Drosophila melanogaster: one gene and its partners. The protein of the gene in region 2 interacts with the protein of the main gene of each other region in a pairwise test. Each region holds a gene or a part of one and is shown on either strand. Other genes may lie near its edges.

Region 1 (7,210 bases), 4.0 Mb from region 2:
GGTCAGCTTGTGCAGGTCCTCCATGGAACTCCCGTAGGCCACATCGGAGCCCCAGCCCGTGAGGACGATCTCTTCGCCGAGTTGAACCGGTCTAGTTGGCAAAGCGATCGGCTGTGTCAGCTCATTGAAGGTGATGTTCTCGGTAAGCTTCACCAGGGCGATGTCGTTATGCATGTAAGGCTGGTCGTACATACAGTGTTTGTGGATCTCGGCGGTGTAGTAGATCGCTCCGGGCTCTGCCCACTTATTGGTGCCCGTGATCACATTGACCAGGGCGGGAATGAAATTTTCCACGCAGTGTCCAGCAGTTATGATCCAGTTTTCGTTTAGGATGGCACCACCGCAATTATGGGAGCCCACTATGGGTTGCAGGGACACCTGGTATGGAGCAAATCCGATCTCAGCCTCCTCGCCACCCTTTATCCTGCCAGATTGACCCGCAGGAAAGGGGCCAACTATGCGCTTTGATTCACAGGGATTTGGGGGCTTCACCGCTAGGAGAATTAAAAGGCTTAGACGGAGCAGCTTCATCTCGAAGGTTTGACCAAGTACTGAACACTAAACGTTAACTTCTTCGCTATCAAAACTTTATTAACTGGCCCCTGCTTATCGAGGCAATTTTATCGTTGCCTTATAAATTAGTATTTTTTATGGTGCACTATGATAGTCACAGTAAACGGAACCTTTAGGATTGGTTGGAGCTGAACCCAGTGCACTTTGAATTCCCACTCATGACATTGCGTATCCAATCACGATAGAAATAAACACTGGCATGAACGTCCTGAAAACAGAAAAAAAATTCTGATTCGGTTCTTAGAATCTTTATGTTTTCCAAGAGGCATGGAAAAGTATTCTTATGAAATTCACCTACAAAATTCTGCTGTTCATTGCCTTAACAAAAACGATTTCCGATCACTTACCGGAACTCCTGTTGCGCAGGGCCATCCCCAGTTGACCAGTCCCACCAGGTAACCATTGCTGACCAGAGGTCCACCGGAATCTCCATGGCAGGCACCTTCTCCCAGCCGCGAAAAAGTGCAAATGTGACCCACATCACAATCTTCATCGTTGCTCAGCAGGGCTTTGCACTCGCGATGGGGAACGTACTGAAGGTATAGAACCTGCAAATCGATGGGACTGGTGCCCCAGAGGACCGTGGATCCCCAACCAGTGAGGATTACTTCATCACCCGGCTGCATGGGCACCAAGGGCAACGGGATCGGCTGAGTGCGCTCGTCCCAAGCAATTGGCTCAACTAATTCCAACAGGGCAATATCATTGTGCATCTCCGGATTATCGTAGTTACAATGGATATGAATGGCTTTTAGGAAATACCTGCCTCCTGGTTGGTTATACTTATTAGTGCCCGTGACGACAACCAGCCATGGAATAAAGGCATTTTCGACACAGTGAGCGGCTGTCAGGACGAAGGTCTCGTTTATTATGGCACCACCACAGGAGTGGGCACCGGAGATTCCCTGCAAGGATATCTGATAGGGAGCGAAGCCATCCTCAGCTGCCTGACCACCGATGATCCGTTGATCCTTGTAAAACCGACCATCCGTTGAGTTTCCCTTGATTCGTATGGCTGTTATGGATACGAGTCCCGAAAGACCCAACAAAATAAGTAAAACCACTGCCGACATCTTGTTACTGGCCCTGGTCAGCTAATGAAGTTTTCAGTCGTACTTGCTGCCTTCTTGACCATTTATCGGAATCAGATAAAAAATCAGTTTATGGCGCGATTGTTGGAACCTTTGGTCAGGCCATTTTGACTTTCGTATAGTTCAATCAAAATCGCGAAGGGTAAAACCAGACTAGCTCAGTCCGCGATTGCATTTCAGCCATGTCGCTTGCACGTTTCCTATTTTATATTCTCGTGTTCAGTTCACTCTACTGTGACTTATTGGCATTGGAGCACTTCATTGTGGGTGGCCAGAATGCAGCTGAAGGAGATGCCCCCTACCAGGTGTCGCTCCAAACTCTTTTGGGTAGTCACCTATGCGGTGGTGCCATCATATCGGACCGATGGATAATTACGGCTGGTCACTGTGTCAAAGGATACCCGACTAGCAGACTTCAAGTGGCCACTGGTACAATTCGCTATGCGGAACCAGGAGCTGTTTATTACCCAGACGCCATCTACCTGCACTGCAACTATGACAGTCCCAAGTACCAGAATGATATTGGCCTGCTCCACCTGAACGAGAGCATTACCTTTAACGCACTAACTCAGGCGGTTGAACTACCCACATCCCCTTTTCCAAGAGGAGCTTCGGAGCTGGTTTTCACCGGATGGGGATCTCAGTCAGCGGCGGGGTCGTTGCCATCGCAGTTGCAGCGTGTCCAGCAGCAACACCTCAACTCCCCGGCTTGCGAGTCCATGATGTCTGCCTACGAGGATCTGGAACTGGGACCTTGCCATATTTGTGCTTATCGTCAGGCAAATATTGGAGCCTGCCACGGAGATTCTGGAGGTCCTCTAGTTCACCAGGGCACCCTGGTGGGCATACTCAACTTCTTTGTACCCTGCGCCCAGGGTGTGCCTGATATATTCATGAATATAATGTACTACCGCGACTGGATGCGACAAACGATGAGTGGCAATGGCAAATGTGCACAGGTCAACCAGCAGACAATAGATGGATAAAAACATTTGAACTCATTAAAGAACCTCAATTCATAATGTAATTCCTTAATGCTGTAAATAATTTATTAATTTATTAAGCCATTTAAACATAAGATAATTCCCAAACTGCCAGCCTTGTATCAAATATCACCAAACATGCACCAAAACCGCATAAAACCCGCACCAAAGCCGCACACAAATCGCCACCAAGCCGCCAAGAAGCCGCTAACAAATCGCGTGCAAGTCGAACTGAAAACGAAGGGCAGGATGTATCCTCTACGGGTCACTCGTAAGGGATCATTCTGTACGGGGCATCCTCTATTTTTTTAATTACTTGGGTTGCTGTAGTTCACTTGTTTTTTGGCGGGAGTGGTGAATTATTTTAATGTTTCTGGAGGCAAGTGATATTCTTGGCCCACAGCCAGGAGTCCGTTCAGTCGGACAGCCGGAATGTCTTAGTGATTCAGCCACCCGCCGTTTTCTGATTTATTTCGGAAGAAGAGAAGTGTCGCACTGGTCACACGTGTCGTCCTGATCTAATTGGTAGCAGGTAGACCCAGACAGACGTGGTCTTAGTCATGATTTGAGTTGTGAGAAAAATTTCGACACAAATCGCTCACGGCGCATGGAAATTCTGAAAATATTTCTATCGGCACTCGCTGTTCAGATGGGGGAAAAACAACCGGGAAAACTCTCAGTTGTGGGCTGTATCTTGGCATTTTGAAAAAGATTTTCAGTTGCTGTATTGACTTGGACGTGTGCGGTGCGGGCCTCGAATTTTCTTGGAATACGCGGCGTATACGCAATCCGTGAGCTATATGTAGACGCGTGTCTTGCTCATATTTTTATATATACAGCAATATATAACAAGTGAAATTTCGCAACTTGTGCAAAGTCGAGGAAAAAATTATGTTAAATCCAGTGAAAATGCCAAAGTATGTGAAATAATTTTCCCAATTAAGGCAAAACGACTTTGCAATGTATTTTACATTCTTACCAAGAGCGATGAATATTGCGCTAAAAGTATACGGCCAAAAAAAAACCGTTCGAATAAATATATTACCAAAAATAAAATAGAATATTTTGTGTTATGTGAATTTCAGTTTGAAATATTGCGTACAAGGCGTTGCCATTTCGTGATATATTCAGACGATGAAAGGCCTCTTTGCTGGATCCCAAAGAAAGAGCCATTAAATGTTCAGTTGTGAGAGCGTAAAGTGCATTTATCTGTCGGGCACCAGATGTTAATAGAGCCTCTGATCTTTATTTAGCCTCAATCGCATGCTCTGCCGCACCTGGGGTATCTGCGGGGTATAGTACCTAAGGGGACCCGGCATATGTATTTCCCAAATGATTTATTTAACTAGGCGTACACGTTTAAGTGATTTTTTAATAGAAGACATAAACCTTTTGTGCACCCTTTAGCAGATTTGTGCAGGGTCCTTGGGTTTTTCCATCACATGGAGACCTGGAAGTTGACGAAGCAACAGGTGCAGATGTTGTAGTATCCTCCCAGTAGGGATACGATGTGGTAGAATCTCCGTACGGAACCCAAGATGATGAGTATGGGTCCCAATAATATCCGGATGACGTAGTTGAGTCAGAGCAATAGCAGCCTGCCAAGACGCAAAACAACGCAAAGATCGTTAAGAACCTCATTTTAGCCGGCATTAATACAAACTAATAAACGATAGATACAATTTTATCAATTATATACTTCTTATCTTATTTATTTTCAATTGTTTAAAGAAATAATACCTTAAAACAGTTGGGCAAATGCCAAATATTCAATAAAAAGCCTAATATTTAACTAATATTTATTTTTCATATTCTATTGCCAAATTAATCACCAGCTGTTGTATCTAAAAATTTTGAAATTTTCAGAAGACTTTGTATGATTCATTTGAAAGCCCACTGTGCCATTGTTTATTATATTCCAATTATTTTCTAAATATCCAAGTAACAGTGCCGAATCGGGAAAAGCTAAATAAAGCGTTGGCACGTGAAATTACTTGACGGCAACGGGGCGTATGCGCAACAAGAGATTTTAACAGCCCAAGCAGCTGTTGAATTAATTCAAACGCCATGAATAATGATGGTCAATAAAAATAAAATTTGTTTAAAAGTACACGCGCTGCGCGTTCACACGGAAATTAAATAGGTTTTGAGAAATGTTAGTACAGAGTTGTTATGAATGGTGTTTCATATCTAAGCATAATTAGATCTTAAAATTCTTACTGGTTTTTTGAAGTTCATAAAAATGGTGACTATAGTTTAGTTTTCTTAATTTTATTTTACGGATTGATTTTGGTAGATCACTTAAGACTTCCTAAAACCCCTTTTAAGCGCCATGATAGCACTGAAATCAGATAATCAGAATAAAATTGTTTGATATATTTAGCGTGCTCTTGCTGCGTTTTATCTTCAAACGAGCATAAACATTCAAGCCAAATAAAATCGAGGAATTTATGACAGCTGATTTGGCCGGAGCTAGTTAGTCATCTCACAAGAATAAACAACATACAACTGTACATATGCTTTTCATTTAAGAGTTCTACGGGTTCTACGATCCCCCGATTTGGGATTCTTTATCAGCGCCTCGTGAGTCAAATGACGGGGAAATGCGGAATGTACTTGGGGCGACCGCCAGAGATGGCCAAAAGCCAATCATTTTTGCAGGAGGCACTTTCAATTGTGACCAGCAGCAGAGAAGATTGAAGCAAAAACATAAAACACAAAAGACGGCAACCAGTTCTATGAAAAGAATAACAACAAAATCAGCTGCGCGTCGAAAATCACATTTGTGATGAGTTGCAGGGGGTGGGGGGGGATTGCGGGGCAAGCGGTGGGTGGGGACTGGGGGGTCTCATGTGGTAGCGTCGCCAAAAACCTGCCAAACAGAGTCAAGAGTGCAGTCGACGTCGACTGCGACTGCGACTGCGACGCCGAGTCAACGTCACACGCAATACCAAAAACACAACACAAAACATGAAGCGAGATAAATATTGAACAAATTATGTATTGAAGACCTTTGACAGACGAGGATGCACTTTTAGAAACTTGTGAGAAATGTATTCATTTATTTAATATGATCTGAAAAAAATAAAAATACAAACCACAATTTTATATTTTATACTATAACTATGATATACATAATAATATTGTATTCTAATTTCATTTCCAACTTGAAATAATAATAGAAAAAATCGAAGGCAAACCTTTGTTATCTGTCAACCAGTAGGAGTGTGTAGAAAGTATCTTTTGGAATTATAACCTATAAGCGTTACCTAATATTTGCTTAGGGAGTTACTTAAGATGATCCCCGTCTGTATGATTTATCTGAGAAAATAATAATAAAGAAATTGAGCAATAAGCGGCGAGCATTTGGCTGCATAAAAACTTTGAGCAAGGAGGCGCACACAACTCAGTCGAGTTGAGAAATTGTCGCGGCCAGTACGAGTACGTGTAGCAAAGAACCCGAAAGCAACGCGCGCATTTCGTGCACACATTTTCAAAACCAAAAGAAAGAAATTCTGAAATTTGTTTACGAAAAAAAACGAAGGATTTGCCAGTCGTGTTTGTGTTGTGTTTTTTTAGAGAGAAACGTGCTCGCCACGCCAGGAATTGTGTAATTAGCGGGCCATCAAGTGTTCAGTATTAAGCACCCCCACTAAAGTATTACAACTCGAGATCATTCGACAGCGATCCCTATCAACCAACAGAAAAACCATCGATATGGCGTCCAGAAAAGTGAGTTTTTTTTTTTGTTGTTTTGTGGGCCTAGGGTGGCCCTTATCCGATCGGCAAACGTTGCATTTCACCCACACGATTTTCCACGATATATTCACGACGAAAATGGAGGACATGTGGTTCTCATTACCTGTTCATAAAAACTAAATATTTGTCAATTTATTTTTAGTCCAATGGGCGGTCGAAATTTGCTCACTTGCGCCTTCGCTGTGCAAATGTTGGGTGTAATTTTAGTTTCAAATAAATTCAAATTAATTAAAATGGAAGTGCAAATTTATTTAGCATTTCATTGGCGGCGTTCGTCGACGCTGATTCATGCGATTCCCCAGCGATGCAAGTGGCGCCTCACGTATTCATCGTCACTTGGCCGCCGTTTTTGGCCCGATTTGAAATGTTTATTTCCATATAAGGGTATCCTCAGCCAGACGCACTTGTTCCATATGGCCAGCTGTCCCCGAGCAGCTCCACTTCCTTGTGGAATGTAGTGAAGGTTTCGAGTCCAAAATATACGATTGTTATACGCATTGAACCTTGTAGAAGTGCTATTTAGGTGTTTGAAGTTTTTGGGATTGTTCTATATTTTTATTTTACTCAAAAATATGAATATTTTGAAGCCATATTATTTATAAAAGAAATATAATTTCTTGGCGTCAGCTGATTCACATGGAGTTGCTGTAGTTGTTGCCGGTATTTCAGTTGTACTTGCAGAACCCCAATCAATGTTCTCCGTTGTTGTTGTTGTTGTTGCGGCAATTGCAACAGCTACCATGGTGCACAAAAGGAGGAGGATGGCAAAAAACTTCATGTTGCTAACTTTAAATCGAAACTGAT
Region 2 (8,712 bases):
GGTAAGTACTACTTCTTTATAAGAACTACTGAATGAAATGTTAATATTCTACCCCATTTCATAGTTGATGCACACACGCCAGCCAGTCTGCTTAAGCTGTGGTACCGAGAACTGTACGATCCACTTATACCGGATGCCTACTACGAAGATTGCGTAAACACAGAGGATCCCGACAAAGCCAAAGAAATAGTTAATAAGTTGCCTGAAATAAATCAGCTGGTAAGTCATAAGTTTTTAGCGAAACTAAAGGAGCTGTGAAATTAAGAAATACCTCTGCTTTCAGGTTCTAACGTATCTAATACATTTCCTACAACAATTCGCCATACCCGAGGTGGTGAGTTGCACCAAAATGGACTCCTCAAATCTGGCCATGGTGTTTGCGCCCAACTGCCTGCGCTGTACATCGGAGGATCCGAAAGTGATCCTGGAGAACGCTCGCAAAGAGATGTCCTTCATGCGCACCTTAATTCAGCACATGGACACAACGCACGTGGCCAATCTGGTCTAATGGTCTGTTAGCCATCCAAAAGGGCAAACGACCTGCCTACCAATCTACCAATATGCAAATCGTTATGAACCTATCCTAACTTACTACCTACCAAATCTAACTTTAACTCAATTTGTATTTATACAAAGGATGATGATGAAGATTAATCCTAACTCCTACTTTAACTTTAACTCGTTTGCTACTCGAACTTTCTCACTAATTGCTATCAGGACGAAAAGTCGATGGATTTAATTTTATTTCGTAATGACTAGGAAGCTTGTTCAGAACAATGGCAACAACCCCAAATACTCGACGATCTTGTAACCCGTAGTGCTTTTTCAAACCAAAAATAACTGAAAGATGAATCCAAAACTGAGAACTCAATGTGTGCATGCCTAGTTATGTCTCAAATTGTAGTTGAATTAATTTATTTTGCATTTTAACTGTTGTTTTTCTTTAAATGGAATTTAAATCAAAGCAAGCAAGCAAGCAAATACTCAAAGAAACTCAAACTCTTAACTCTCAAACAATGCGAAGCAAAGCAGACCTTGAATAACTTCTTGCGAAGCCTATAAATAGTTATAAAATAAAGCTAACGATAACTTAAATTAAACTCTATATATATTATTATGTATGTACACTATATGCAAAGGATGATCAGAAAGGAGAGCCGATAGAGAGAGAGATAAGTGAATCAAATGCAATAAGAGGTCAATGATGAAATGATGCTTATTAATTACTCGCAGCCAACGTAGTGCTATATACAAATATTTATTCATTTGCATAAATAAAAGAATGAAGATAAATAAATATGATAATGTTCGAATCAAACGCAACTTCATGGAGAACAAGTCAAGTGAAAATATGTATATATATATATATATATATATATATATATGTATTGAAACCTACAGCTTGCGAGGCGATCGAATAAAGTTATAAATGTAAAATGAAGTTGGAAACAATATCGACATCTTGTCATCGAAACACATGCCCATTGGAGGGGATTACAAATTCAGCCGGTTCTTTCTTTGCTGTTATTAATGCGTGCCACAATTATTTATGCCCAATTTCGAAGTCATTTCAAACCGTTTGTCTCCTGATAATTGCTAATAATTTAGCCTCACTTGACGACCATAAGCCCCCCAGGCCATGGCTTCTTATCGAGCAGTAGGCCTCGTCAATGTCTCGAATTGGTCGCATTTAGTTATCGCATAGCACCGAAAAACGATTTTATTTTTATCACCATTCACCATTCATTATTAACTATTCATTATTATGTTATAATTTGTTTCTGTAAAGTACAAAATACTTTTTGAATGGTCATTACTTACCATTGAGAGCTTCCTTCTGACCAACCATCAGACCCCCGAATACTCTATTCGAACCATTCATGTTGATAAATTTGAATACTCACCTTGTGATATGTCACAAAATGGCCGTCAGTTGGGTTTTTCGGGTGCAAAACGTTATATCGATGGGATTTTGTCGGGGATCACACAACTGACTATCAGTTAGCAGAGCAACAAGTGTCTGCTCATGATGAAGCGTCGAAGTGATATGTCCGGGGATTACAAGTGCACTCGGTAGCATGTTGTATGGGCTTCCTTTCCTTCATATCTTGGAAAGCAGGCTTTGCATAAATTAGTTTCCTAAATGTTTTAATCTCTTTTTCAGTCAAGGTGCTTTCCATTAAGGTATATCAATTATTATGCGAACAGAAACATAAAATATAATATATGTATGATGTTCAAAGAGTTATTTTTAAAATTTTGATGTCATAAAATTTTAATCACCAATCGATTGACTGTAGTTTACTGCCCCTTTTCAACGAAGAACCCCCGAAAATTCTATTTGCAATTCATTAAATCACTTTTCAGCGAATCATATCAAAAGAAATAGGTTTATTGCCAAATATCACATGAATTTGAGTCATTGTCATATGTAGTGAAGTCATACAGTTTCGATTGAACTCCTGCCAATTTAAAGTAGTCACCATTTAGCAAAATCACAAAACTTGAAGAACTTTTAACTCTTTACTTTCTACTCATCGTGTGAACCGAAGACATGATAACATCCTTTCCACCAGCGGAAACTAAAGATTTTCATTGTTCCCGAAACTCGTCGAGGCCCAAAACTTATCTCGAAGGTACCAATTTCTGGGGCGACCTGAAAAACAACATCAAAGGGGTATCTATCAGTAACAATAACAACAATTAAAGGCATTTATGGGCTGTGCGTTTTCCATTTTATCACCCGGCCCAAGCCGAAATCAAAAGTAATCCATCATCTGAGAGGCTTTACGAGGAGCCCGAGTACAACTGATAAGACACCCCGAAACACCTATCCATGCCCCAGGTATACAGACGCATATATTGTTCCCAAAGAGCAGAGAGGGACGGCACCATGGCCGAAATCATAACACAAACTCGATTACTCAATCAAAGCGATGGCTCTCTGATGGTGTTGGTAGGGGGTAGGGTGGGGGGTGCCTTTTGGGGCAATTTTAATTTGTTTACAACAACAATCAACAGAGTAAAATAGCCAAACAGTAGCTGAGAGCTGAAACCAGGTAACGATACCGATAAGGGGTGATTAACAATTACTCGATCAAACGCACCGACCCGCCGAGTGGGAGGCGTTCTGGGGGAGGGTGGTTGGGTGGTTGGGTGGTGGGTTCGATGGGTTGGCAGCTCAATAAGCGGGCGAGCAGGGACTGTGATTTATACAACGATCGCCGATTGGGTGTCCAACCGCGTACCGATGTCGAGCTGTCGCCGCCTGCAATTGGAAATTGGAATATGGGTATTGGGTATTGGGAATAGGAATCGAGTGGAGTGGAGTGGAGTGCCATCGAGGCAGTGGAGCGCCTAACCAACCACCACTCGCTTATCAATCGATGGCCGGTAGCTCGGCACTATCTCCCATGCGCGGCATATCTACATACCGCTCTATTATTGTTAATATTGATATCTACCCATTAGCACAACATTATAGGTACAATCTATTATATTCTGTGAAATCAGATTTGGTACAATTTATAGCGCCCATGGGCTCTGCGACGGCTCCTACAGCTGGTGGCCATTAGTTCATCGCCTGCGGCCGACGCAGTCGCTTCGATCGCTCCGGACCCAATCAATCGGTATCTACAGTTCGTTACTACCGCTCTCAGAATCCACCAATATGGATATCGCCACCAAGTCCAGCAAGGCCGCCTTCTCCATTGAGAATATCTTGGAGCAGAAGAGCTCCTCGCATCGATCTCAATCGCGCAGAGGCTCCTCTCAAAGTCCCGTGGCGGTAACAGCAGGCATAGCTACTCCACACGCACTGGCCATGCCCAAGGCATCCTTGGCCACTGGATCATCCTCCGCGGCGCCTACACCCTCTCCATCGTCCGCCACCAACATCTACGATCTATCCCGCGAGGCAGCTGCCGCCCAGTATGCCATGAAGAGTATGGACTCCAGTGCTGTCCTGGCTCCCACTTCGCTGCGCTTCAATCCCATCTACCCGGATCCCGCCTCGCTCTTCTACCAGCAGGTGCTGCAGCTCCAGAAGAATCCCTCGCTCTTCATGCCCCACTTCCAGGCGGCCGCTGTTGCCGCCGCAGCCGCTGTTCAGCCAACAGCCTATTGTGATCAATACAGTCCATTTACCATGGACTGCGAAGGTGAGTACTTCAGAATACCTACTTAGTGGGGTTAACATGTATTTTAGTTGGGTGTTGAATGTCCTAAAAGATAAAGATTCATTTTCAAGATAATTGCTTAATTTTTGTGGTAATTTATGATAAATCATTCACTAAAATAAGGGTGCATGAGGAGAAGACATTACAAATTTATTATAAAGTTATGGTATTTCCACAGAGCTATAGAAAAGGTATAGAAATGAAATATTAAATTATATGCAATCTAATCTCAGCAAATTCAAAAGATTGTAAAGCAGTTATAAGGCCAAGAAGTATAGTATATTTATTCGACATTATGAATGAAGACAATACAGCATTTCTTTATTAAAAAAAATTCTAGAATAAGATCAAAATTATTCAATTATTCGAGCTGTATACATACATGCAAACGCAGTTGAAACCCTTAGGTCAAGTTATTGACAAGCTCATAAAATAATTGACTAATATATTAATTAATGCGGTTTTGAGAAATCTATTAGCCCAATGATGTCTATCAACAATTTAGTCGTTTGACCTCATTAGCATATTTCATCATACTATCAAATGACCGGAAATGAGTCACCTGAATATGAATGAATAAGCGCTACAATTATCAATTAAACACTAAAATGCAGATAAAGGCAGAAGCATTCTCAGAGTATGATATGTTAAATCCCTATTCTTAAATTCTTATTCATGAAGCTTGGAACCATAGTTTCTATTAGACTTTCTCACAGTTTTTAGCAAAGACTAGGATTGATTCGACACTACCAAGTTCAAGTCATTGAACCTACCCATGCTGACACCTTAATCTCGCTCATCAAGTTGACACATGGAAATTGATCGCCATGGGAAAGGTGTTGCCTGAAATCCCCATTTAAATACCAAATATCTAAGCTAGCCTAAGTCCGAAGTGCCCGGACCACCGAATATTACAATGGGGATCCCACACAAAATGGGCCATAAACATGATTAATGTGTGTGTGTTGTGGTGCAGTTGGGTATTTGTCAAAGTCAAGTGTTGGCGCCAATGCCACTCGAAATCACATTTTCCCCGCCCCAAAAACTGCATTTCCCGGTTGGTTTTCTGGGCGGTGGTGTAACGGTAGATTAGCCCTAGCAATGCTGATAAAGTCAAAGTCCCGAATTCCATCCCCTCGCAGTACAAATGCCCCATTCAGATCGGAAAATATTTCGGTGGCTTATCAGAAGTGACAAATATTTGAAATTCAGGTGAGAGACAGCAGAAACTATATCTATGGATATTTAAGTGACAGTTAGTTTTCATTGAAAGGCATTGAGCTGTTGATTTGGGAAAATCGAGCTGCTGCGAATTAGACGGACTGTGAGAAATCATACTCATTTAAACCTTTGGATAACACACAATTATCACAGGCAGTATCTTTCGATATAATTGTAGTGAAATAGGAAGGAATCAATACAACATTATAGTGGAATGGAATATCTAAGTGCACCTTTCTGTTCCCAATATGCCCGTCTTGAGGATATATCTATGATGAGTCCAACTGAGTTAGGATCATACTACGCCTCAAAAAAAAAAAAGGAGTATTGATTAGCTTGCTCTATGCCATACTGATCACACAATGCAGATAGGAGTATCGTCGTGTATAGGGCACTTCAACTGTACTGCTATCCCGATTTCCGATTTGTTTGGCTTATCTAAACAAAAATGCTATTAGAGGCGATTAATAGGCGCTGTCCATCATCTTATAGCCACGATTGCCATTTGATTACGATAAGCCCGTCCGTTCCCGACACTCGTTCCACCTGGACAAGGGGCAAATGGTTAGGGGCGGAGGCGGGTGTGGTGGTGTTGGCGACAAGTACCTGATATGATATTATTCCTTCAATCGGACACGCACATTATAAAATAATAACAAATCCAATTTTCAGCGATTAAATGCCGCTGGGAAGAAGATAAGGGTGCTCTGCGGCCTTATCACTCCCGAATACGCCACTTAATAAAAATAAACATGAATAAGTCTATTTGTAACGATTTAAATTATGGCATCTGCAATCGGATGTTATTTATTTAATGGCATTTGGCCATTTCCAAGGGTTCTTGGCCAGATCGCCTCACCAATGAGGTAACTGGGTCCCCAAATATCAGCTTAGTTCAGCGATGGAGCACACTCCAAATATGCGCCAAGTGCGAATTTCCGTTACCTTAACTAAAAAAAAAAAAAGAGGCCACCTTCCTTATCACATAGGTGTATGTACATAGGTGCAGATAGGTTCGCAATCGGATTGCCGTTCGGGTGCCAATTGATTTCGCCCAATTGCTACGAAATCTCGGCGTACAGTCGATCCATTTCGCAATGGCCACCATTCGCAAGTCGTCATCCAGTTACAAGTGGGCGTTGACATATTCTCCGATACTGATACAACACCCATACACTTGTACCACTCGCAATTGTTGTGTCCGATTACTTTGATAAGAGCGGGTGGGCGGAGATAGGGAAAACCGGGCCAATGGAGCCACCAATCACAATCCAATGATTGCGCCACTTTATATCGGGCAGATGGTTCAAAATCGTTATTCAAAGAAATCGATTGTCCTCGACTTTTTCATGGCAGCTTTTGATAAACTCTGAAGTGGGTCTATAATGTCATTAGTTCTTTAATTAAGATCGTATTAACAATGAAATATTTAGTTTAAATATTTCTCATCTGATATAGGAAACCCTTGTTCACAAAGTGAAGTGTTAACAATAAGTTAGTTCTGTAACCTCTTCAGCAATTGTAATCTAAAACAAACTGTCTTCCTTTTTAATCCATAGGATTCCCCAATCCTGCCTCCGCTGCAGCCGCCCTCTACTGCAATGCCTATCCGGCGGCCAGCTTCTACATGTCGAACTTCGGCGTGAAGCGAAAAGGCGGCCAGATCAGATTCACCTCCCAGCAGACCAAAAATCTCGAGGCTCGCTTCGCCAGCTCCAAGTACCTGTCGCCGGAGGAACGGCGTCATCTGGCCCTCCAACTCAAGCTGACCGACCGCCAGGTGAAGACCTGGTTTCAGAACCGGCGCGCCAAGTGGCGACGAGCCAATCTCAGCAAGCGCAGTGCATCCGCCCAAGGACCCATAGCAGGCGCTGCCGTGGGATCACCCTCCAGCGCCTCGAGCAGCAGTGTTCCCGTGTTGAATCTTGGCAGCGGAAGCAGGTGTGGCCAACAAAGCGACGAGGAGGATCGGATGTATCTGTCCGAGGACGATGAGGACGACGACGAAGACGAAGGCGAGGCGGATGAGACGCCCAAGTGAAGCTAGAGGATGGCCCATTGACTCATAAGTTAGTTTAGCTTGTAGTTAGGATAAATAAATTTATTTTATTAGAACTATAGTTATGCGAGTTAGTAAGTACTAGATGGGTGGTCTCCTAGTGGAACTGGTAGCTGTCCAAGCAGGCGCAATTGGGCAAGGTGCATCTTGGCGCCAGATTGGAGAGGTGACCCATGGTCACCGGAAAGGATAGCGGCACAAACCACTTGGGGTACGCACAAATGGCCGCTGCCGCCGCCGCTGATGCACTGCCTCCAAAGACCGGCGGCTTTAGCTCCACCACCGATTTGCTCTGGTACTGAAAGGTAAGATTTTGTATGTACTTAAATAAATATTTCATTAGGTACTTCCTACTTCCATGGACCACGCAAATCGTGACTTGATTGAATTCTGGAAGCGGAAATACAGACCGTTGAACTTAAGTAAAAACACAAAACACCTGTTACAGATTTGCTGTATACTATAGAATATAATACTATAGAAATAACCGGTATATTCACTTAAGTACACTTATAACTAAAAGGTACTTTATACAATTTGCACTATGCAGTTAGGTCGCTTACCTGATCTGTTATCACGGGCCTAAAGGCGCTGCTCCTGGGCGGCGCGGGCTGTGGCATAGTGGTCAACATGCCCGGCTCCTGGCTGGGCAACTGGTTGCTGGTGACATCCACTGGCGAGGACTTGCCAGTGGGCGAGACATTCTCAATGGCCCGAATCAGATCGAGATCGCAGCGCTTGAGGACCAACTCCAGGACAGATCGCTTACGCTGCGGAAAGAGCTGGGCAAGCATGTCAATGGCCGTTTGGGAGACGTTATCTCTTCGGGGAGCACTGAGATCCTGCGCCACCGCCGGCGATTCGCTGTACTCCTCCTCCCTCTGCTTCAAATGCTGCTGCTCCACCTCCGAAATGGTCTTCTCCACCTGATCATCCTCCCGCTTGGCACGCGGCGAACTAGGCTGCGTGACGGTCAGACCGAAGATGTTGCCTGGCGGCAGTGCATCGATGGAACGACCCGTCTTGTTGGCCACCAGCCGCATGGCAATCGCATCCTCCACCGCCTGCTGGCGCTTCAGGGCAACCTGAAAGCCCACAAATGGAAATTAATATGCGACAAGTGAACATCTTGGTCCGTTTGCTGCTGTTTGACTTAACCGCAAACAAAGGCCACAGCAATTCCTTGGGGTATCACCCACATCCTAGCACATCCTAGTACATCCTAGCACATCCTAGCTCATCCACAGCGATCTA
Region 3 (6,414 bases), on a different chromosome or scaffold from region 2:
CAAAACTAAAAGTTACACGTGCTATGCCCGTTAGAAAAGAACTTATAAAAACCAATTTCCAACAGAGAATGGCCACGAAAAGAATACTCTTTAACTTTCTTATTAGTCCTTGATAAGTCAGGCTATCACGGGAAGTATACCACTTGGCAAAGTAAATGCTGAGCAAATAGAGAGCCACACATCCGTGTAGGGAACTTAAGCCTTCCCGATTGGCACTGAAAAACCCCTCATGGGGTGCAGAAGACATGACGAATTCGGAGAGTCCCAGTTGGAGCACCACTTCGTGAAGGAATAGCAAACCTAAAATCGTAGGAAATTAAAATTTATTGCATTATTATTTTTTCTGGACCTACCTATTGCAAGTGCCAGGAGCTGTTCATCAGAGTTTACCAACAGACTATAGCAGCTGCCCAGCAATTTCGTGAATCCCAGTATGAAGAAGGCATTCAAATGGCGGCCGTATTCCGTCTCATCCTGGTGATAGTCGATCAAAGTGATGACAATGGTGCGAGCAAGCCCTAGGACCAGCAACGGAATAACAGATCTCCTTAGTTTCTTAAGATCAGTGATGCTCCGTGCTCGATGTGAAACCAATCCCATGGTCACCACAAAAAGCCCAATTCCCATATCCATGACAGCTGCTCCGAAAGTCCGGCTTTTCCGGTAATCCGTAGGATACGAAGGGAAATCCACAGCCAGAATGGCGGCACAGGTTCCACTGTAGGCAGTTGCTCTCAGCAGAGTGAAGACTATGGGTCTCTTACCGACCTTATACACGAAGTTTGGAGGATTGGGAGCGACATTTCCATAAATATAGACCAGAACAGCTAAGGAAACCACCAGGGAGTATGTGTAGCTATAGGCACTCCCCACTGTAATCAATATCACGGTGGGTAATCCGATCAGAAACAACTCCAGGAGAAATCTCCTCGTGGATAGCATCGGCAGGTGTCCGCAGAGCAGGCGGGAAAGAACAAATCCCAATATCGTGGGCAGAATGGTTAGAAAGCTATCTAAACTTTCCTTGATAGATCTCCAGGATTTCAAATCCACATCATTAAGTTCGTGCTCTACGAAGCTGGCCACCTCGGCCTCCATTATGTTAAATTTTTATTAGACCTCGGGTTTAAGCTAACGCATAAAACTATAAATTATTACGAACTTTTAAAGCCGGTTGAAAAATGTAAACAAAAACAAATAGTAATGTAAGTTAGCCGATAAAATAGCCGATTATGCAGCAGTCAGCTCTTATCTGTTAGCGGAACAGAAGCGAAATCATTTGGTCACACTTAAATAAATTCAAATTGAAAATGCAATCCTTTTGTATAATACCGATTTATTTTGGGTCTGGCATAAAGCAAAATAAATGCATTTAATCACAATTGAGGCAATCTACAGCTCGTTGCGCTGCGTTTTGGAGGGATTTTCTGATGCCCGTCGGGGGAATTCCTTGTGGGAAAGAATTTCCTCGGCTGCTCCATCGACAAGATGCACAAATTCCTTCACATCAAAGCTATAATTGGTAAACTTGGCGTGTGCGCCGCCCTCGGGATGATGACCCTCGTCCTGTGGGTACACCAAGTCCCGCTGCTCCCAAGTGCGGTAGCGAACGCCACGTAGGCGAGCCAAGTCCTTGTAGCAATTCGGATCCTCGCAGTTGTACAGCTCAAAAATGCAGGCCCAGTTGGGCAGGAAGAGCAAGTGCGTCAGGCCAGCGCCATGCATGCCGATGAGTATGTCCGTGTTCCGTGTGATGGCCAACTGGTTGGTAAAGGGGAGCCTGCGGGGGGAACTCATTAAACTGAAGCCCAAGGAGTGTATTTAAACATTTCTTACCTTTCATAGGAAACACGCTGTACATCGTACTTATCGTTGGCCTCCAGGGGGGCCAGCAGCTCGTCTTCATTCAGCACTTGCCGGTACTTTGTGCGACGCGATAGATATGTTATTCTGATCTTTTGCTGTGGCGGCTTGTAGGGAATCTGCAGGCGGTGCAGAATGAACTCGGAGAAGGCGCGGAAGAGTCCACTATTCGAGCAGCCTTGGATCTAAAAGAAGAACACCTTAGAAACATCGCGACACACGTTTGCCTCCACTTACTATGGGTGTATTGTAGAATAAGCCAAAGATCATCCTGGGCAGCAGCGGCAGCACAACGTTCTTGAAGCATACCCGCTTGCCCTCCACATCGCTGAGTGTCCATACTGGTCGTTGCGAGAAGGCCTTAAATGTGTCCCTGAAGGGCGAATCGTACGGATAGGTCTCCCATATAAGTATCTGCACATCCGTGTTGAAGGCCGCCGGATGCGACTGGTTGACAAAGAGCGAGGCATACAGGTTGAAGAAGTCGCAGAAATGATGATACATGTTGTACGTGGCATCGATTTTCATGATGAAAGTGGGCGTATTCACCACCACATCGCAGAGACCGCTCTCCAGAACGGGATGTGGTAAGACATCAAAATTACGCAACTCCGGACCCCAGGACTGCAGAGCCGATCCAATGTGCTCCATTTCGCCCGACAGTCGAGTCCGATTCAACTTGCAGTGCCCCAGCAGCTGTCCTGGTCCCAGCACATCCATATGGTAACGAATGCGCTCTTCCCGCTGCTCCAAGCCCCGAAAGTCGAAGAGAAGATTCCGCCCACGACAAAAGCGCAGGTAGTGCGTGCACTCTAGCGAGGAATCGCCCAAATAGGTTGGCACGCATTGCGGCGTCAGTTGGGAGAGCTGCTCCTGGATGTACCCGAAGTCGGCCTGGTTGTAGAAGGTCCTAACCTGTGCCTCCTTGCTCCTGGCCCAGCCGGTATGTTCCCCAGGGCACTGGGGCGTCTGGAAGCGGCCAGCTGGCGTGCAGTCCCGCTCGTGGCCCCAGCAGGCGGATGAAATGGTGCCCTTGCCGGTGAGATTCGTGGGCAGCTGTTGTTTCAGCTTGGGAAAGGTGTTCAGGTACCGGATGAGGTGTTCCGACGGCAGGCTGGGCAGGGAGAACCCATCGAGGTGCTTGGCGTCCTCCGCCAGGGACAAGTGTAGTATCCCAATGAGTATTGGCAGGATTGGCATCTTGGGTTCCGTTTGATCTACTTAAGTACTTCGTTGCGTGCGACTTTCCAGCGATTTCCCTGCGACTTCTCACGCTTTCCACGGCAGCATCTTCAGGTGCATTTCACGGCCAGCGATGATGATGATCTCACCTGGCCTTAAGCGGCTAGAAGACGATTATGAGCGGGATAATGTTATTGTCCATGTTAATTGTTCGCGAAAGAAATACCTGTCCGCCAGTGTGGCCGTTCGCCAGCTTAGAAAACGCACACTCCGCGACACCTAAATAGGTAATGCACTTAGATACAACTACAATTACTTAATTAATTTTAACACAATAAAATATTCTTTTAAATTGTAACTTATTTATTCGGCACTTATTTAATCGTTTTAGTGATTATTTGTTTTAAGGATATCTATAGTTGTGCCGCATACCGTAGGGATTATAAGGTTTTAAGCTTCGATAGATATTGTTAGCGTGTTCGTAAACCATTTAGACCGTTATTTTAATACGAATTTTTGAATGGCTTCACACTATTCCGGACAATTTATGTTATTTCTGACCGACATGGTCGGCGGATCCCACATTTCGGCTAACCACAGCCACTGCACTGTTCCTTACCCTTTGCCACTGCAATGTTCCTTACCCAGTGCCGTTGCCTCGAAATCTATCTTCCACTTCCACACACCTGTGCCAGCTCATGGGATCCATCAGAACAGTCGACTATGCCGTTGCAGGCTAAGCTGGTTTCCTTCGCTCGCCGGTTACTGTTCTCAACACATGGAACATAATCATAACTTGCTCCTCGTTTGGAGGAAGATATACACAATGAGGCAACGCTGGGTCTGGAGTATAATTGAACTTAGGCATGCTCTTGTATTTAAAAAGTTTACAGCGTGTATAAATAATGATTTACGAGTACCTAGCATAATGCTTAGCCACGAAAAATAATATGTATAATTGTTAAATTAATTAGAATAAACAAAGAATTACATACAATCAACTAATAGATAACTAAAAGATAATTATCACTTTTAAAAAATGAAGAATTAATTTAAAAAATTATTACAATTTAATTTAGCATTAGAGAAGAGGCTGCACATAATAGCATGGTATTGTATAAACATATAACTAGGGATGCGTGTCCGCACATCTGACCTTCCCCATCGGTTCAGATCAGACGAAGACGCGCATCAAGTCGCTGCTGGTTGGAGTGGAGTTGCCTCCCGGATTGGAACTGTTCCCCTTCCAGGGAGGATTGCTGTTGGCGCTGGGAGTGTTGCTGCTGTTCAAATTGCTGATGTTGTTCATGTTGCTGATGTTCATGTTGCTGCTGCTGTCGGACAAGGTGCGCAGCAGCTGCTTTTTGAGGAGCTGCTGTGGCGAGTGGCTCTGACTTTGGCTGGCGTTGTGGTTGCTCTGGAGCGGCAGGGTGAAGCTGGGGCGGCCGAGGGGCTGCAGCTGCTCCAGCTTGCCGGCCAACAGTCGGCGGCGTTTCTCGTAGAAACTGAAGGTCAGCTTGTTGTCCTCCTCCTTGTCGCGTTCCTTGTCCTTCGTCGGCTGCTCGCCGCCATCCTCGCTATCCGGTGGTGGCTTCTCCTCCTTCTTCGCCTTTCCCATTAGCAGTTCATTCAAACGCTTGGCTGTCATGACTCCCGGCGATCCGCTTGATCCACCACCAGCTTTTCCTCCTACCAGCGCCCTCTTATTGCACCTCAGGCGATCTTGTGCAATGACATTCGATCGCTGAGCGTAAATGGTTCTGCCCGAGGCGGGATTCTTACCCGGCAGACCGTTGCTTAACGCTGGCGAGGGCGGCGGCGGTGTGCGGGCCAGCTGACCGACCACGCCCAGGTGATTACCTCCCGACAGGGATAGCAAATTGTTGTTCGCCTTCCGCGTGGTCAACAGATTCTTGCGGAAGGTGACGCCCAGGCCCTGGGGCAACTTCACCATGCCAAACGTGTTCATGGCCAAGGGACGAGGCGCTCCGGAGTACAGCATCACGTTAAAGTAGCTGTCCTCGTGGTATTTGGCATTGGCCAGCGATGGATGGTGATTGATTTGAGGATTTGTTGTGGGTGGCTGGCTGGCGGCCTTGGCCTCCAGCTTAACAGTCTTTACGGTGTCGCTAACAGTCTCCAGTTTACTGAACTCAAAGTCGGCCAGTTCATCCGCCAGTTGGTTTGCCTCCGTTCCAGAACTCAAGTTGGTTTGTATGCCGCCCGATTGCACGACATTCACGTCCACATTTTCGTAGCCCGCGTTGGTTAGGAATTCGGCTAAGACCTTCTGCTCCAGCATGGAAACGGGATTCGACTCGGTGATCTCGTATATAATACTGGGCAGGATCATGTGCTCCTCCAGCTGCTGTTGCTGTGGATTGACCATTGCCTCATCCGTCAGAGACGGCACGTTGTAGACGCTGAACTGGCGCTGCTGCTCGTGATCCTGAAGCTTCTGATCCTGCTGCTGCTGTTGCTGCTGCTCTTGCAGTTGCTGCTGCTCGAGCATCTGCTGCTGCTGGTAAATCAGTTGCTGCAACTGCATGGCATCGATGGTGGTCAGCTCCTGCTGATGCTCTTCCTCGCCATAAACCTGCTGAACCGCCTGCTGCTGGTACACGGCGTAATCCTCGCCAATGGTTCCGTCCTCAAAGCGCAGCCTTTTAGTGGCCTGTGCGGGATGCGATAGCGATCCATTCTGCGCTTGCTGTTGTGACTGCTGTTGCGATGTGTCCAGAGCGCTCTCATCGAAGTTATTCAGAATCTCGTTGATCAGCTTGCTGTCCAGCATTTCGTCGAGCGTCTGCGAAATGGAGTTCTCGTCGGAGGTGTTGGGCAAGGGCAGTTCCTCCTCATCGGGCGCCACCTGCTCGGCGGAAACCGCTCCCGTGATGGAAGACACTGCCTGGTCCAGTTCGCTGAGCACTTGCTGCTGCTCGTAGGAATTCACCAGAGACTTATCTTTGTTCTTCTCCTTTTCCGCTTTTATTCGATGATCGCTGGAGCCCTTCAACTGAAGAGGATTTCGGTAATTGTATCATTGAGTTATTATAGTCACAATTATATGAAATACCTTTTTCTTTGGCTGCAGCTCGGGCAGCTTTTCCGCATCCGTCTGAAGCTGGGCAGGTGAATAGTTGACCCCCATCGCCACCTCGCTGGAGGCCGCTCCCAACGTGGGAGTGGGCGGTAAGCTGCAGGATGAGTTGCTGGAGGAGGAGAACATGGTTATGGCAGCCGGAGCAGCACCCACAGATGGTGGCTCCTCCTTAACAACAGCAGCGACGACGGGAGGAGCGGCTATGGCCGAACTCTTCTTCGATCCCTTTGACTCCTTGTGATTGGACTCCAGCAGGGCCGGAGCTG

What was found.
Region 1: the proteins of HHEX (region 2) and cher interact in a two-hybrid assay, tested with the Drosophila melanogaster proteins (one large-scale study listed by BioGRID).
Region 3: the proteins of HHEX (region 2) and Eogt interact in a two-hybrid assay, tested with the Drosophila melanogaster proteins (one large-scale study listed by BioGRID).

The regions. Positions count from the first base shown.
Region 1 is NT_033777.3:17,121,567-17,128,776, reverse strand, and holds the start of cher (cheerio), read left to right. Parts: upstream 1-3,387; 5' UTR 3,388-3,538; coding exon 3,539-3,564; intron 3,565-3,990; exon of another isoform or gene 3,991-4,018; coding exon of another isoform or gene 4,019-4,288; exon of another isoform or gene 4,289-4,300; intron 4,301-6,094; exon of another isoform or gene 6,095-6,364; coding exon of another isoform or gene 6,365-6,379; intron 6,380-6,689; exon of another isoform or gene 6,690-6,998; coding exon of another isoform or gene 6,999-7,184; exon of another isoform or gene 7,185-7,200; intron 7,201-7,210. Other genes in the region: CG31265 (uncharacterized protein), read right to left, coding at 1-531; CG31269 (uncharacterized protein), read right to left, coding at 686-781, 921-1,646; CG17477 (uncharacterized protein), read left to right, coding at 1,847-2,650; CG45079 (uncharacterized protein), read right to left, coding at 4,019-4,288; CG42779 (uncharacterized protein), read right to left, coding at 6,999-7,184. UniProt on the Drosophila melanogaster protein: Involved in the germline ring canal formation. May tether actin microfilament within the ovarian ring canal to the cell membrane. Contributes to actin microfilaments organization.
Region 2 is NT_033777.3:21,075,642-21,084,353, reverse strand, and holds HHEX (hematopoietically expressed homeobox), read left to right. Parts: upstream 1-3,427; 5' UTR 3,428-3,670; coding exon 3,671-4,160; intron 4,161-6,958; coding exon 6,959-7,440; 3' UTR 7,441-7,492; downstream 7,493-8,712. Other genes in the region: RhoGAP93B (Rho GTPase activating protein at 93B), read left to right, coding at 1-1, 65-219, 284-508; dmrt93B (doublesex-Mab related 93B), read right to left, coding at 7,556-7,756, 8,022-8,543.
Region 3 is NT_033779.5:2,377,983-2,384,396, reverse strand, and holds Eogt (EGF-domain O-GlcNAc transferase), read right to left. Parts: upstream 3,301-6,414; 5' UTR 3,064-3,300; coding exon 2,101-3,063; intron 2,049-2,100; coding exon 1,837-2,048; intron 1,781-1,836; coding exon 1,393-1,780; 3' UTR 1,324-1,392; downstream 1-1,323. Other genes in the region: PIG-Wa (phosphatidylinositol glycan anchor biosynthesis class W a), read right to left, coding at 1-300, 354-1,098; Atxn7 (ataxin 7), read right to left, coding at 4,220-6,061, 6,122-6,414. UniProt on the Drosophila melanogaster protein: Catalyzes the transfer of a single N-acetylglucosamine from UDP-GlcNAc to a serine or threonine residue in extracellular proteins resulting in their modification with a beta-linked N-acetylglucosamine (O-GlcNAc).